Linked DNA regions of Caenorhabditis elegans. The protein of the gene in region 1 interacts with the protein of each later gene in a pairwise test. Each region holds a gene or a part of one and is shown on either strand. Other genes may lie near its edges.

Region 1 (8,036 bases):
AAACCTTTTAATTTATCAATAACTTTAGGATTTCTGAAATCCCCCTCTTATGAATTATAAATCCCTTTTCACACCTCACAACTCACGACTTTGCAATAAGAAGCCCTCAAAGTAAAATTTATGATTTATGATTCAATGATTTATTAAAAAGAGGGAATTCGTAGAGAAACCTGAAAATCTCTGACCCAAATGACTGAAAGACAAGACAAAAGAACAAAAATGCGAGTGGTGGTGGGAATGCTTAACAATATATCACAGATGAGGTAGCTAGATCTTCTTTAAAAGCTCTAGAATCGGGTCGAGTTTGAGAATGGATGGCTCGTCGAGTTGTTTGTAGTACCAGTCGCGTTTTTTGACCAGGGAGCGGAGGTGCTGGAATTATTTGTAGGGTTAATAAGGGCAAAACCCCTACAAGATGCCTACCTGAACACATGCCTTCGCCTTCTCGGCCCTCTCCTCCGCCGCCACATCTACTCCTATCCTATGGGAGTTCATGGACGCAAACTTCACGAGCCTCTCCCCCAGGGTGTCAGCGATCGCTGCGAGACCCTCCAGGGCTATAGCTCGATTTGTAACGTCTACACTGGCTATGTTGTCTGAAAGTTCAAAACATCATTACGACCTTCACTACCAAGCAAGATTACCTATTATGACTGGAAGGTAGGCATGACAGCTGTTCAATGACCAATCGTTCCTCCTGCTCAGTATCCTCGTGGCGGTTAACACTAGTTGCTCATCGGAGCACACTTCTGGAGGGATATCCACGTTGCTCGTTCGACGGGAGGTAAGCATCTTGAGCCGTCGGATGTCTGAATTCCAGTAGTTAACGCTTCAAGCTAGATCCTAAATAACTCACTTCTATTCTCCTTCTTCGCAACTATCCCGATGTCATGTACAGTTTCTATACAAGCTCCCCAGACCCCTACAGGCGTCTTGGCCGACGTGGTAGAGGTCACCGATGACGTGGAATTCTGGCGTCTGGCAGTAGGCCCTGAAGCGGTGGAGGAGGCACGCTTGGCCGGGGAAGAGGTGATCGCGTAGATTGACGGAGGGGAGGTCTTCTTCGCCACGGAAGGCGATGGGCGACGGTTGCGGGATGTGGAGGAGGATACTGTAGATGCGACGTCTCCTTCGCTAGGGGTACGTGGGCGGCCAATGTAGGTGATGGTGATGGGCTCTTGGTTACGGCTGGAAAATTGGAAAGTTTTAGAGTTTTGAAACTTTACTTCCTCTAGTCCTGCTTACCGGCTCGACGTTGACCGCTTCTTCGGAGCCCTCTCACTCAACAAAGACGTCGTAGACCCTGCCATCGACTTTGTCGTCCTCAAATCCGACATAGAAGGCGACGGATTCGCGCGGTTATTGTACCCGCTTAGTGATGGCTTCGACGAGACAATCACACTCTTTGCGGTGCCAAATGTTCGAGGTGGCTTTGTGGAGACTGGGGTCACAGAGCGTGTGGACCCCGCTGGTTTTGGGTTCAGGGTCTTGGTCGATTTTCCAGGAAGCTTCTGAGATGCCGATCGGTGTTTGACGGGAGCTGGCTGTAAGATTTAAGAGGTTGGATGTCAAGCTGCGGCTGTTGGAGCAGGGGAGAGGGAACTCCCTAGAGGGTTTGAAAATATATGGAGAGCTCTTTTAGGTTTTACAAAGCTCAAAGACTGTCTTGTGAGGAAGATTGAGGGGATTGAACTTAGATACAGACTTTGGTCTAAAACTGGAAAATTGCAATTGAGACTAACGACTTGAGACAGCTTACGAGTTTTTAGGCCAATAAAATGAGACTCGGAAGCCTTTTAAACTGGCCCAGAAGCAGTCCGTACTTAAGATATGGGCCTCTGACAAAAATTTATTCTTACCTTAACGGGACTAGTCGGGCTAGAATGGCTGCTGCTACTATTCACAGGTGACGCTGACGTCTCCGTCTCTTCACATGACAAGCCAGGCGACCTCGGCGGCAAATTCGATAACTCTGTGAGCTCCGGTAGCGCTTTTACCTGGAAAATTCCTACATTAACCCCAAGTACAAACCCAAAGCTAATACCTCATCAATCGGCGAGTTATCCACATCCTCATCCTCCTCGTAAATGCTCCCGCAGAGCTCGTGGCTCGGCGAATAGGAGAGCAGCTCTTCTATAGCGTAGGTGCGCATTTCGAGACGTTCAGTGTTGTCTCCAATGCAAATAAAGTCTAAATCCAGACCGTTTGCATTCACGTTGACGACCTGAAATGGCATGGAATTCATAACAAAGGGAAGAAGATTGGAATCTCCGCCAAAAAATAATCAATCATAACTGGCGTTGAAATGTTGGGTTAATGCCTTAAAATGAACATTTTTAGAAATTTGGATTCATGAAAATAAGATAGGAATTTGCTTTCCGATGTGACTTTTTGACTAAGTTTCAAGTCTATAGGACTACTAGTTGGCTAAGTTACAGAGCTAAGAAATTTGATGGCCAAGCCGCGACGCAACCGCAACGCGTGGGTGAAAGCTTACAAGTGTCGTCTAAAAATTTGAAGACTCTACGTCAACTGGTACGCAAGTTACAGGATCTTTAATACTAGAGCACACACTGACAACACTTTTTGCTCACATTTTTCAGTGAGCCAAAAGTGTTGTCAAGTTACTATCCCTACCTTCTCCACATTTTTCAGAGGTACTGTCGTTAGAATATCACAGCAGGGCTCCCAAGTGAGCAGGTTGATAGAATCATTGGTAGCAGCTATCATGACGTGGGCTGAAATTCAATTTTTTGATGTTTTTGGCCCAAAATTAAATATAATTCTTACTATCAAAAGCGCTGGCTTGAATATCATCCAGAAACGGATCGGATTGAGATATCATTTCAAAAGTCTCTAGGCAGAAAAACCGAACTATCCTATCATGACCAACGGAGGAGAGGAGCACATCGCTGGGGTGAAGCTCTAGTGCGTGACCCTGCAAAATTTGATTTTTTAAAAATGGTCAGAAATTCCAGTGAAAAGCACCTACCGAACAGTTAAAAGTTTTGATAAATTCCCGCTGCCTGGCGTCGAAAATCTGTATAGTTTCGTCGGTGCCAACTGCTACATAGCGATCACCAGGTGATAATGCGATACTTCGAACAACGCCAGGGGTTTTGGACCCGAAAATCTGAAAATCATTATATTTTGAAAAGTTTCAGAAAATTTGGGAACGCTTTAAAAAACTGCTTTATTTCAGATATGGTGATTACAAAAAGTTTCAGAAAATTTGGACCACTATGGGCTAAGTTATGTGGTATTGAAGTTTTGGGCGTGCGTCGCGTGTCGCGTCGCGGTCGATCTTCAAAATTAGAAAGTTTCTTTTACAACGCGCGTTGAAAGTCTATAAAAAAGTCTGTTTCTAGAGAATGCTTTCACAAAAAGTTTCAAAATCCTACGACGACTGGGAGCAAAGTTACGGTGCCATAAAATTTCGGCAGTGCGTCGCGTGTCGCGTCGCGGTCTACCTCAATTTTTAAAATGTCAAAGCTTTGCTCACAATTGAGTCGGAGGTGTGAAATTTGGCCAATAGTGTTATCTAGTATTTATCTGCCATTTTTGATAAAAATTTGGGCACGCGTCGCGGTTGCGTCGCGGCTCGGTATCACAGAGGATTTGAAGCTTGGACACTTTTTGGATAGTATTTTTGCACTTTTCAACTCACTTTAGACGGATTCATCCTAGTATCCCACTGCGTCCAATCACAATCCGATGACCCGGTGTACCAGCAGTAAGGGTTGAACTTGCTAGCGGCTAGGGAGGTTATTGGCAAGGTGTGTCCCGTTAGATTCCGCACCTCGTGACCTGTTATAATATCCGCAACTTTGAGAATCGCATTTGTCGCCGCACCGATCGTCCGTTCATCTGTGGAGAGTCGGAGGCACTCGATGGGTAGCTCACTGAGAGTTGAGGTGCTTGGGAGCTGAAAAATTTGTTTTTGTATAAATAGGTACATTTCAAGCTTTTATAGAAAATTAGAATGTGGTAAACTTAACAGAGTCACTCAAAAAATTTCAGAGCTCTAGGACCATTTTGAGCCAAGTTAGATAACCGCGACGCGACCGCGCCGCATGCGCCAATTTTCGATGCACCATAACTATGCTCCAAAGCGTGCCAGAGCTCTGAAATTTTTTCTGAAGTTTTAGATCGGCTAGAGCTATTCTTTTCAACATTTCCTGTCAAGTTATGAACCTATTGAAAATTTTCCAGCTCCCCCTTCCCAAAGACTTTTCAAATTCCCTGCCCAGCAGATCAATCATCTAGATATGGAACCCTTTCACACCCTTTTTCAATGTTCGCATCCCCATGAGAATTCCGGATCAAAACTTATCGCTGGGCAGAATCTTGTTATTAGAGAGGCGAGACGCAGAGACAGTAACACTTCTCAAATTGACAACTACGGTTCGATAAGCAGCGAAAGTGCCGAGGGGATTATTGACGGCTCGTTAGGTACAAAGAGGATTATACGGGGTGGGGGAAGATCGGAAGAGGAGGAAATTAAATGGGTGGCCGAAAATTTTTTTTGTTGCTTAAAAAGTTTAAAGCTAGATATTTGAATAGTACATGTAATTTTGAGGCTTCTGCAAAAATGTCAGAGCTTTAGGACCTTGGTGAGCAAATTTATCAAGCTTTAAAGTTTAGGAGGTGGCCGCGACGCGACCGCAACGCCTGGTCAAAATTCTAAAGCTTCATATCTTAGCTCTCAAAAGACCGAGAGCTCTGAAATTTTTTGACACTGTAATTTAGGTTTTTTCCAAAGTTTGACTGCAAACTGTGAACAATGTAAGATTTTTTAAAAATCTGGATAATCCTTTTATATCCGTCTGACCCCAAAAACGCCCCAAAACAATGAATAATTGCTCTGGAAAGAGACTCGCAACATGTGGTCCCACTCATTATAAGCAGATGGCCCTGGACTACAAAAAGAACACTTACCGGCTCAGAACACCCCTCCAGTGGAAGCACTTCGTATGGTCCCGCGCAGATGACGGAGCGGTGTCGACGCGAAAGGACTGCCGAATGGACCGTCGAGTGCGGTAGTGCCGATACCACTGAAAAATGGGAAAGGTTGCTATATGTTAAGGAGTTTCAAAATTTGGTTGAAGCGACGCGGTTGCGTCGCGGCCCAATGAATTGGTTGCTAACGATAATGAAAGCTTAATTTAAAATCAGCTCTGAGAAAAAATTTCAAAGCTGTAGGTCAATTTTGAGCTGAGTTACAGGGCTTTGAAGTTAAGTAGGTGCGGCGCGGTTGCGTCGCGGTTGAACTAGATACTTTGAAGCCTTATAACTCAGTGCAAAGTTAAGCTACGGCTCTGAAATTTTCAATATATACTAATCCAAAAGTGCAAATTTTTAATTTATAATTGGAAATTTTATATTTTGAGATTCGAACAAATTTTTTTTTTCTCCTCCAAATTTAGACAAACCCTTTGGGAATACATTTGTACTTTTATTTTTACGGCCCTCTTTTCTCTTAGAGGAGCATGGAACACATCCAATTTCCAATTTCCAGGCGGGTGCACCACAATACTAAAATTTAATTACTTTTCCACCCCAGAAGCTTGGGTTAGAGTTTACGTCATCAATTGGCATAGTTAGAGAGTTTGGAATAGATTTGGATGAAATTTAAAGTCTGATTGTGAGCAAAATTTTAGAAATTTTGGAGAAATATGTTTTTTGAGAAAAAAAAACATTTTTGGTCAAAAACTTTCAAATGTTCAAAATTGTGGTTTTTTTCTAAATTTTACTTATGACATTGTAAAGAGCAATATTTTATTAATTTTTACTGTAAAAGTACCTTAAAACCTATAGTTGTTACCCTATAAGATTCCAGTCAGCCTGAACGCAGTACCAACAAACTTCAGGCTCCTCTAACTCTGCGGAGAGCAAGGCTATCAAAATTTTGTCAACGATGAAAATGTTTATCACACAATTTTCTATGTTTTGATAGTTGGCAACATTTTAATAGCTCTCGTAGTTTTGGAGATATGAAAGTTTGAAAAAATCTCGAAAAAATTTTTTTTTTGAAAATTGGAAAATTTTTTTGAAATTTTTTTAGTAACCAGCATACATATGTATTTTTAATTAAAATTAGCATTTTCTAAATTAAAAAAATCAAAACCAACCTTCAATTTTCATGTTTTGTACAATTTGCTCCGCATGGGAAGAATATGACACTGAAAAAAAATCTTGAAATTAGCTGAAATTTCCAAAAATAACCGCAGTTTAAAGAGCTGTACAGTAGTGAAAAAAAAATAGAAAAAGTGAGAAAAAAAGAGGGAAATTGAATTTATAGAGCGTCGAGACAGAAAGAAGGGGGAAAATTTTATTTTCGGATTTTTTTTTCGGGAAAATAGACAAAATAGACACCAGGGTGTGTGTTTTCAATTAAAATCCTAAAACCGAACACCATGAAAAAAACATTGAAAAACATTGGAAAGAATCAATCCAATGAATTTTGGAAAAAGGGCCGAAAATAGATGAAAACAAGGAAGAACTCGAGGAGGGGGGGGGGGAGAGAAAAAGTGGCATAACTTCTGGGAAACTGAAGATTTTTAAAAATTGTCAACTATCAAAATGTTAAGCATAACATTTGCACCATTTTTTTAGTTGCCAACTTTTTGATAGCTGCCACCAATAAAAAGTTATAAAAGAAAAAACTACCATACCTCAAATTTGTGAAAAGTTATCAAAAAGTTGTCAATTTACAAAATGTTAAGCAAAAAATTTCCTTTATTTTGTTAGTTGACAACTTTTTAATTAATTCAGTAGTTTTTGAAATATGGAAGTTCAAACTAAAAATAAAAAAAACCACAACAATTTTTAATTTTTTTTGAAGTTGGAGTGATTTAAAACTTTTTTAAATTTGCTTAGTTTAAACAATTTTCAAAAATAAATTTTGAAATAAATTTTGTAGTTTTTAAAGATGTAACAGTAAAACAAATTTAAGATTTTTTTTTAATTTTCATTTTTAACCACATTTTTGAAACGTTGAAATCTTTTCCTATTATCATATTTTAAATTTTATTTTTACAATTTAACAAAATATGAAAAATTTGTTGAAAATATGATAATAGTTAAAGATATCAATGTTTCGAAAAGGTGGTTAAAAATTAAATAATTTTATATTTATAAAATTTAAAAATGATTTTTAAAAAAACTTAAAGTTTTAATAGATTTTAAAAGCTTTTCTTGTTTTAAGAAACTTCATATTTTTCAGCAAAAAATTCCCTCACAAAATGTTTTTTTCTAGTTTAGCAAAATTTTGCAAAGTAATTTTTTATCACCGAAAATGCTCTTTTTCGGTAGTCGAAAAGGAAAACTAGCGGAAAACGGAGCAAAATTCACAAAAAAAAAACACAAGAAAAAGCAAAGACAGAGAGCAAATAAAGTGAGAGCAAAAACGGAACGTGAGTGAGGAGGAGGAGTACATGTTTGCCATAGGGTACCCCCTTATCACTTTTTCGTAATAAATGTCACTTTTAAGGTATGAATAATGCGTAAAATACTTGAAAAGTTGGAGAAAATTGATTCAAAAAAATAAAATTCTATATAGTTGTGGCTCTCTAGCTTCAAAATAAATGAACATAGAAAAAATTGTCAACTAAAAAATTAATTGACAAGAAATTTGCTAAATTTTGTTAGTTGGCAACTTTTTGACAAGTCTCATAGTTTCAGAATTACAGGGGTTTGAAAATTTTGAAAAATGTTTTTCAAATTTTTTAAATCTACAATTTTAAAACTCATGTATCTCCAAAACTAAAACAGCTGTCAGAAACTTTTTAACTAATAAAATGTAGTAAAATTTTAGTTCTATAATTTACTAGTGAACTACTTTTTGATAGCTTGCAAATTGGCAAAGTTAAAATGGCTTCAAAATTTGCTCAAAAAAAATTTCAATTTTTTTTAATCTACAATTTTAAAACTCGTATATCTCCAAAACTAAAATATCTATCAAAAATTTTTCAACTGATGAAATGTAGCAAAATTTTAGTACTATAAATCACTAGTTAATAATTTTTTGATATCTT
Region 2 (4,537 bases), 5.8 Mb from region 1:
AAACTTAGTAAAATATCTGAACGATCTGTTTTTCAGGTAATTCGTCCGTCTCCACACACTTCGACATCGAATTTAACAACTGAAAATACTCCACTTTTGAAGGATGAGGAACCACCAAAAACTAATCCAGATGAACCAAAAGTCTAATTTTTCTAATTTGAAAGCCTTCCCCACTTCCTCTTATCGTGGTCCAGCCCATCACAGATCTTTCTCAATTTTTCCTTACAGTCCACCGTCATAATTCCGTTTGTTATCCCCCGTAAGAGAATCGTGTTCCACAAAATTTGCTTTCTTTTTTTTTTGATCTTTCTTCTTCCAAAATGTTAACCTTTTAGACAATTAAAATTCACACATGAAATTTCCTAAACACTTATCCACTAATAGTTACCCTTCATAAGGGCGGTTTTTTATTCAGTTTCTTTTCTAATCGATGTTTATTTTCTTTCCTGTATCGTTTTTTTTCACTGTCTTCTTTTCTTATATTTCTTTCACAAATGAACTTTTATATATTTCCAAATAATCCAGTGAGTGGCAAAATGATTCATTTTACATACAAATTTAACCAATAAGTATTTTACAGGAAAGAGTGAATCGGGGAGAGATGTTTGGATGAAGGTGGCCTTGAAAATTTTATCTGTACAATGTTTCAGAGTTTCAAAAACCAAAGCTAGGCCACAATATTTTAAACTAAAAGGAGATCACAATAAATAGTTGATTTACATGGCACCAAAAGAGTCACACCATTCTTTGCATTTGAGCATTGTATCTGGACCAGCACTTGGTGAAACTGCTTGAAGAGCTGCTTCAAAGTCAATGTTCCTCACGAGTTCGGCTTTCAGTGATTCCATTGCAGCTGTCAGTTCCCCGCCTCGCAATGATTTGGTGTCGTATCTGAAATATCTTAAGGATTCTTAGTGTCGATTCTTGAAAAAAGTGTTGCAACATCGCGATTAGCAAAATTTTTTCAGCAAACGTACAAAATTGGCTTTTTTTTAATTATGATAATCCAACTTTTCAATCTTAAATTGATATCGAAATTTATAAAAACGGTTCATTTCATCTTAAAATGTTATTTAATTTTGTCTACAAGCGTTTAAAAACATTAAATAGTGCATGAAAGTTGCCATTTCTATACCAGTTTTTGATTCGAAATATTGGATTATCTTATTGAAACAAGCACGTTTTCCAAAAAGATTTTCTGCACATTCCTGCTACCTACCTTCTCAACACATTGATAGCAGCAGTTCTGCATAGAGACACAACATCAGCTCCTGAGAATCCTTCAGTCCTTGCCGCCAAGTCATCATAGTTAATTTCATCGGATTTCGGAGTTCCTTCCATTGATTTTTCGATAAGCTTCTTTCTTGCATCTATATCTGGCAGTGGAATGAAGATTCGCTTTTCGAAACGTCTTCGGAGTGCCTCATCGAGCTCCCATGGAATATTTGTGGCGGCCAGCACGAATACACGTCGCGAATCGAATTTATTCTGTGACCCGTCCATTTGTACCAGAAACTCGGATTTAACACGCCGACTCGCTTCGTGTTCTCCAGAATTTCCACGTTGTCCACCAAGTGTGTCAATCTCATCGATGAAGATTATGGATGGAGCATAGAACCGTGCAAGTTCGAATAACAGACGAACAATCTTCTCGGAATCACCACGCCACTTGCTGGACAGATCAGTCGAGGAAACGGTAAAAAAAGTTGAACTAGACTCTGAAGCAATCGCACGTGCGATAAGAGTCTTTCCAGTTCCAGGTGGTCCAGCGAGAACCATTGCTTTCCATGGTGAACGGAGACCCTGGAAGAATTCTGGCACCAAGAGTGGAAGAGTGACGGCTTCGTGCAGAACTTGCTTCACGTCGTGCATTCCGATTATATCATCTAAAGACATTGTATTTTCCGTATTTGTAGCCATTGTACCACGCACCGCTTGAACAATGTACTGAAAAGATTTCTGATTTTTGTTTCTGGAAAACATAATAACTTACCGCATCATAAGCCGATGCATCGAATGAATCTCCAGCACTATTTTGAGGCAGTATTCCTTGTGTTGGATTCGCAGGCTTCACATCAGCCGGATTCGTGCTCATCGACGACGTTGACTTTGATATTTCTCTGGGACGTGGACCTGCTGCTCCAACTCCTTTCTTTGTTGCTCCAAATTTCGATGAGGATGGTAACGGTGGCGATGGTTTGGACCAAACATCTGGGTCTGCAGGTGGCTCTGGACTTCCACTTTGTCGCGTCATCGCCTCGTGTAGGTCATCTTCATCGCGCACATTTTGTTGGACAAGCTTCAAATTAGCCTCTAGGGCTCGTAGGAATGTCTGAAATTTCAAATAATTCAACAAGCTTTTAAAAGATTTATATTACGTACATTTCTTGCGTCATGCTCGTCTCTGTTGCTTGCCGAAATTTTACAGCTTTTGACATCTGTCATGAGCTGACGAAGAAGATCACCAGCCTCATTCCATCGTCCGGCATCGGACATTGTTTTCGCGACTTGGGCTCGCTCCAGATATCCGCGAATGACTGACTGCACATCCCCATTCATCCTGAAAATATACTTTAATTTTTCAATAATATACACTTCTACAGACGAGAGGATGAAATTTAGTATAAGACAATGGGATTTGGCGGAGAAGAAAATGGCAAGATGATGAATGATAACGAATAGGGAAACGACGGAACGGAGTGTGCGTGGACTTTATTAGATGGGAGAAGAAGATTGTACCGTGAAGATGAATTTAATATTATTTACAGAATAAAATGGTTGAATAGAAAACGATTTTTCTTTTTTTACTTGATATTGGCTCACTTGTTGGAAACATTGAAAGAGTTTAGCCGCAAAACAACAAGTATTTACAGCGGTAGATCACACAAAAAATGATAGGTCAAAAAAAGTTTTAGGAATTAAATCCTTAGCAAAAGGCTTGAAATCTGAGATCTTTCAGCGAGATATAAATGATTAGAACCTTCTAATTGCATATCACTTGAATAAAACCAAAATTAAGCGGCGAGTTATTGATTTTTCAGAAAACAGATTTCTGCTGGTCAAACCTCAGAATTAGCTCATCCGCGACAAACAATTAATTTACACAAAGCAAAAAAAAAAAAATTGATTAATAAAGAGAAGAAACAAGAGCAGTTTGAAAAGGAAATAATTGTTTCACTTGTTTAACAAAAAAAGATCATAAAGGTATAGACGAAATTTGTGTTGTCCGGAGCCAGTTTGATTTGCACAATTATAGTGTAACTTCTTAAAAGATATCTATAGAAAGCTTTTCATAAAAAGTAAAAAAATAATTGCTCAGGGCTCCGCGGAGCTGGAGCTCCGGAAGTATGGCGCAAAAGTACAAGTGTCGTCAGTTAAAATGTCGAGTACGCAATACACCCCAGACACTGTCACGTCTGAATGCACAATCGCTTGCAATTTGAACACTTTCAATTTTCGAATTTTAGCGGAATTCCGCGGAAAACTTTTACATTTTCTTAAATATTCTTCTCATTTTTTAGGATTATTATTATTAATTGGTTTTTTAAAACTGCCGTGTAGTCCATCATTGTACTGATTCGAGATTAAACGCGTTATTTTTGTTCAAATTCCGAGAAGAAACTCAAGAAACAAAAGGAAATTTTAAACCCTATGGAATTATCAAGTTAAAACCGTAAGAAGTTTTACAGAACTCCCGGAAAAATTTTATTTATCAGAAATCTCAATTTTATAAGTTAATGTTTCTACCGTGCTTACTATATTTTTAATACCACTTCACATGACATTAGTATCTCTTTCAGATGACGGATGTCGCTCGAGAATTCGGGATAGCTGTCAGCGACTCCTCCACGGTCTTCGCCTTCCTAACAGATAAAAAAGGATTTTCAAATAAAGGTAAAAATTGCATCTTCTTCAGTTTCCAACATAAGAGATTTTTCAGAAACAGTCTTGGTCGAGAAAGTTTCACAAAATCGACAAATTCTTGCGACACCAAATCTCAGACGACTTGTTATCGAAATGTATTCTGTATTTGATAAATGTCAAAAAGGCTCCTCACCTGATGCACCTCTAGACACGCCTACTTGCTGCACATTCTCTCGAGCTTATCGTTCAGTTCTCTACAATGCCGCCGTGTCTCACAGCAGTTCCGACTTCATGACAGACTTTGCTTTGTGGTCACTTTACGAGAAATTATGGTTTGGAAGAGGTGATAGCTCGATATGTGCGGATCTTATTTCATGGGCCAATCAGAGCTTCACGTTTTCTAGAGGAGCCATGGAATCAGCTGTGGAATATCTGCATCCGGGGAAGACGATTCCAGAAGAATATTGGAAGGGAGTAGCAGTCAGCTTGCTTAGTTGCAATTTCAGCGATTGTGTTGAACTGTTGGAGCTACATGGAGGCGGATCAGAATGTGATGCATTCATTGAGGCTCTCACATTCTTCAATCCCGAAAACTTAGTCGACGAAGCATTAGTAAGACCCATTTATATAATAATTCTTAAACTTCGTAATATTCTTATTTCAGGCTAACACA

The links.
Region 2: the proteins of F47G4.4 (region 1) and mei-1 interact in a two-hybrid assay, tested with the Caenorhabditis elegans proteins (2 studies listed by BioGRID).

Annotation. Positions count from the first base shown.
Region 1 is NC_003279.8:14,062,622-14,070,657, forward strand, and holds F47G4.4 (WD_REPEATS_REGION domain-containing protein), read right to left. Parts: upstream 6,183-8,036; 5' UTR 6,145-6,182; coding exon 6,132-6,144; intron 5,055-6,131; coding exon 4,939-5,054; intron 3,926-4,938; coding exon 3,668-3,925; intron 3,134-3,667; coding exon 2,993-3,133; intron 2,939-2,992; coding exon 2,791-2,938; intron 2,739-2,790; coding exon 2,638-2,738; intron 2,225-2,637; coding exon 2,045-2,224; intron 1,998-2,044; coding exon 1,860-1,997; intron 1,545-1,859; coding exon 1,246-1,544; intron 1,189-1,245; coding exon 857-1,188; intron 810-856; coding exon 645-809; intron 597-644; coding exon 424-596; intron 373-423; coding exon 268-372; 3' UTR 128-267; downstream 1-127.
Region 2 is NC_003279.8:8,292,904-8,297,440, reverse strand, and holds mei-1 (Meiotic spindle formation protein mei-1), read right to left. Parts: upstream 2,568-4,537; 5' UTR 2,560-2,567; coding exon 2,383-2,559; intron 2,333-2,382; coding exon 1,994-2,332; intron 1,948-1,993; coding exon 1,220-1,947; intron 901-1,219; coding exon 717-900; 3' UTR 501-716; downstream 1-500. Other genes in the region: abts-1 (Anion exchange protein), read left to right, coding at 37-147; npp-2 (Nuclear pore complex protein Nup85), read left to right, coding at 3,801-3,894, 3,941-4,476, 4,529-4,537. UniProt on the Caenorhabditis elegans protein: Catalytic subunit of a complex which severs microtubules in an ATP-dependent manner. Microtubule severing may promote rapid reorganization of cellular microtubule arrays.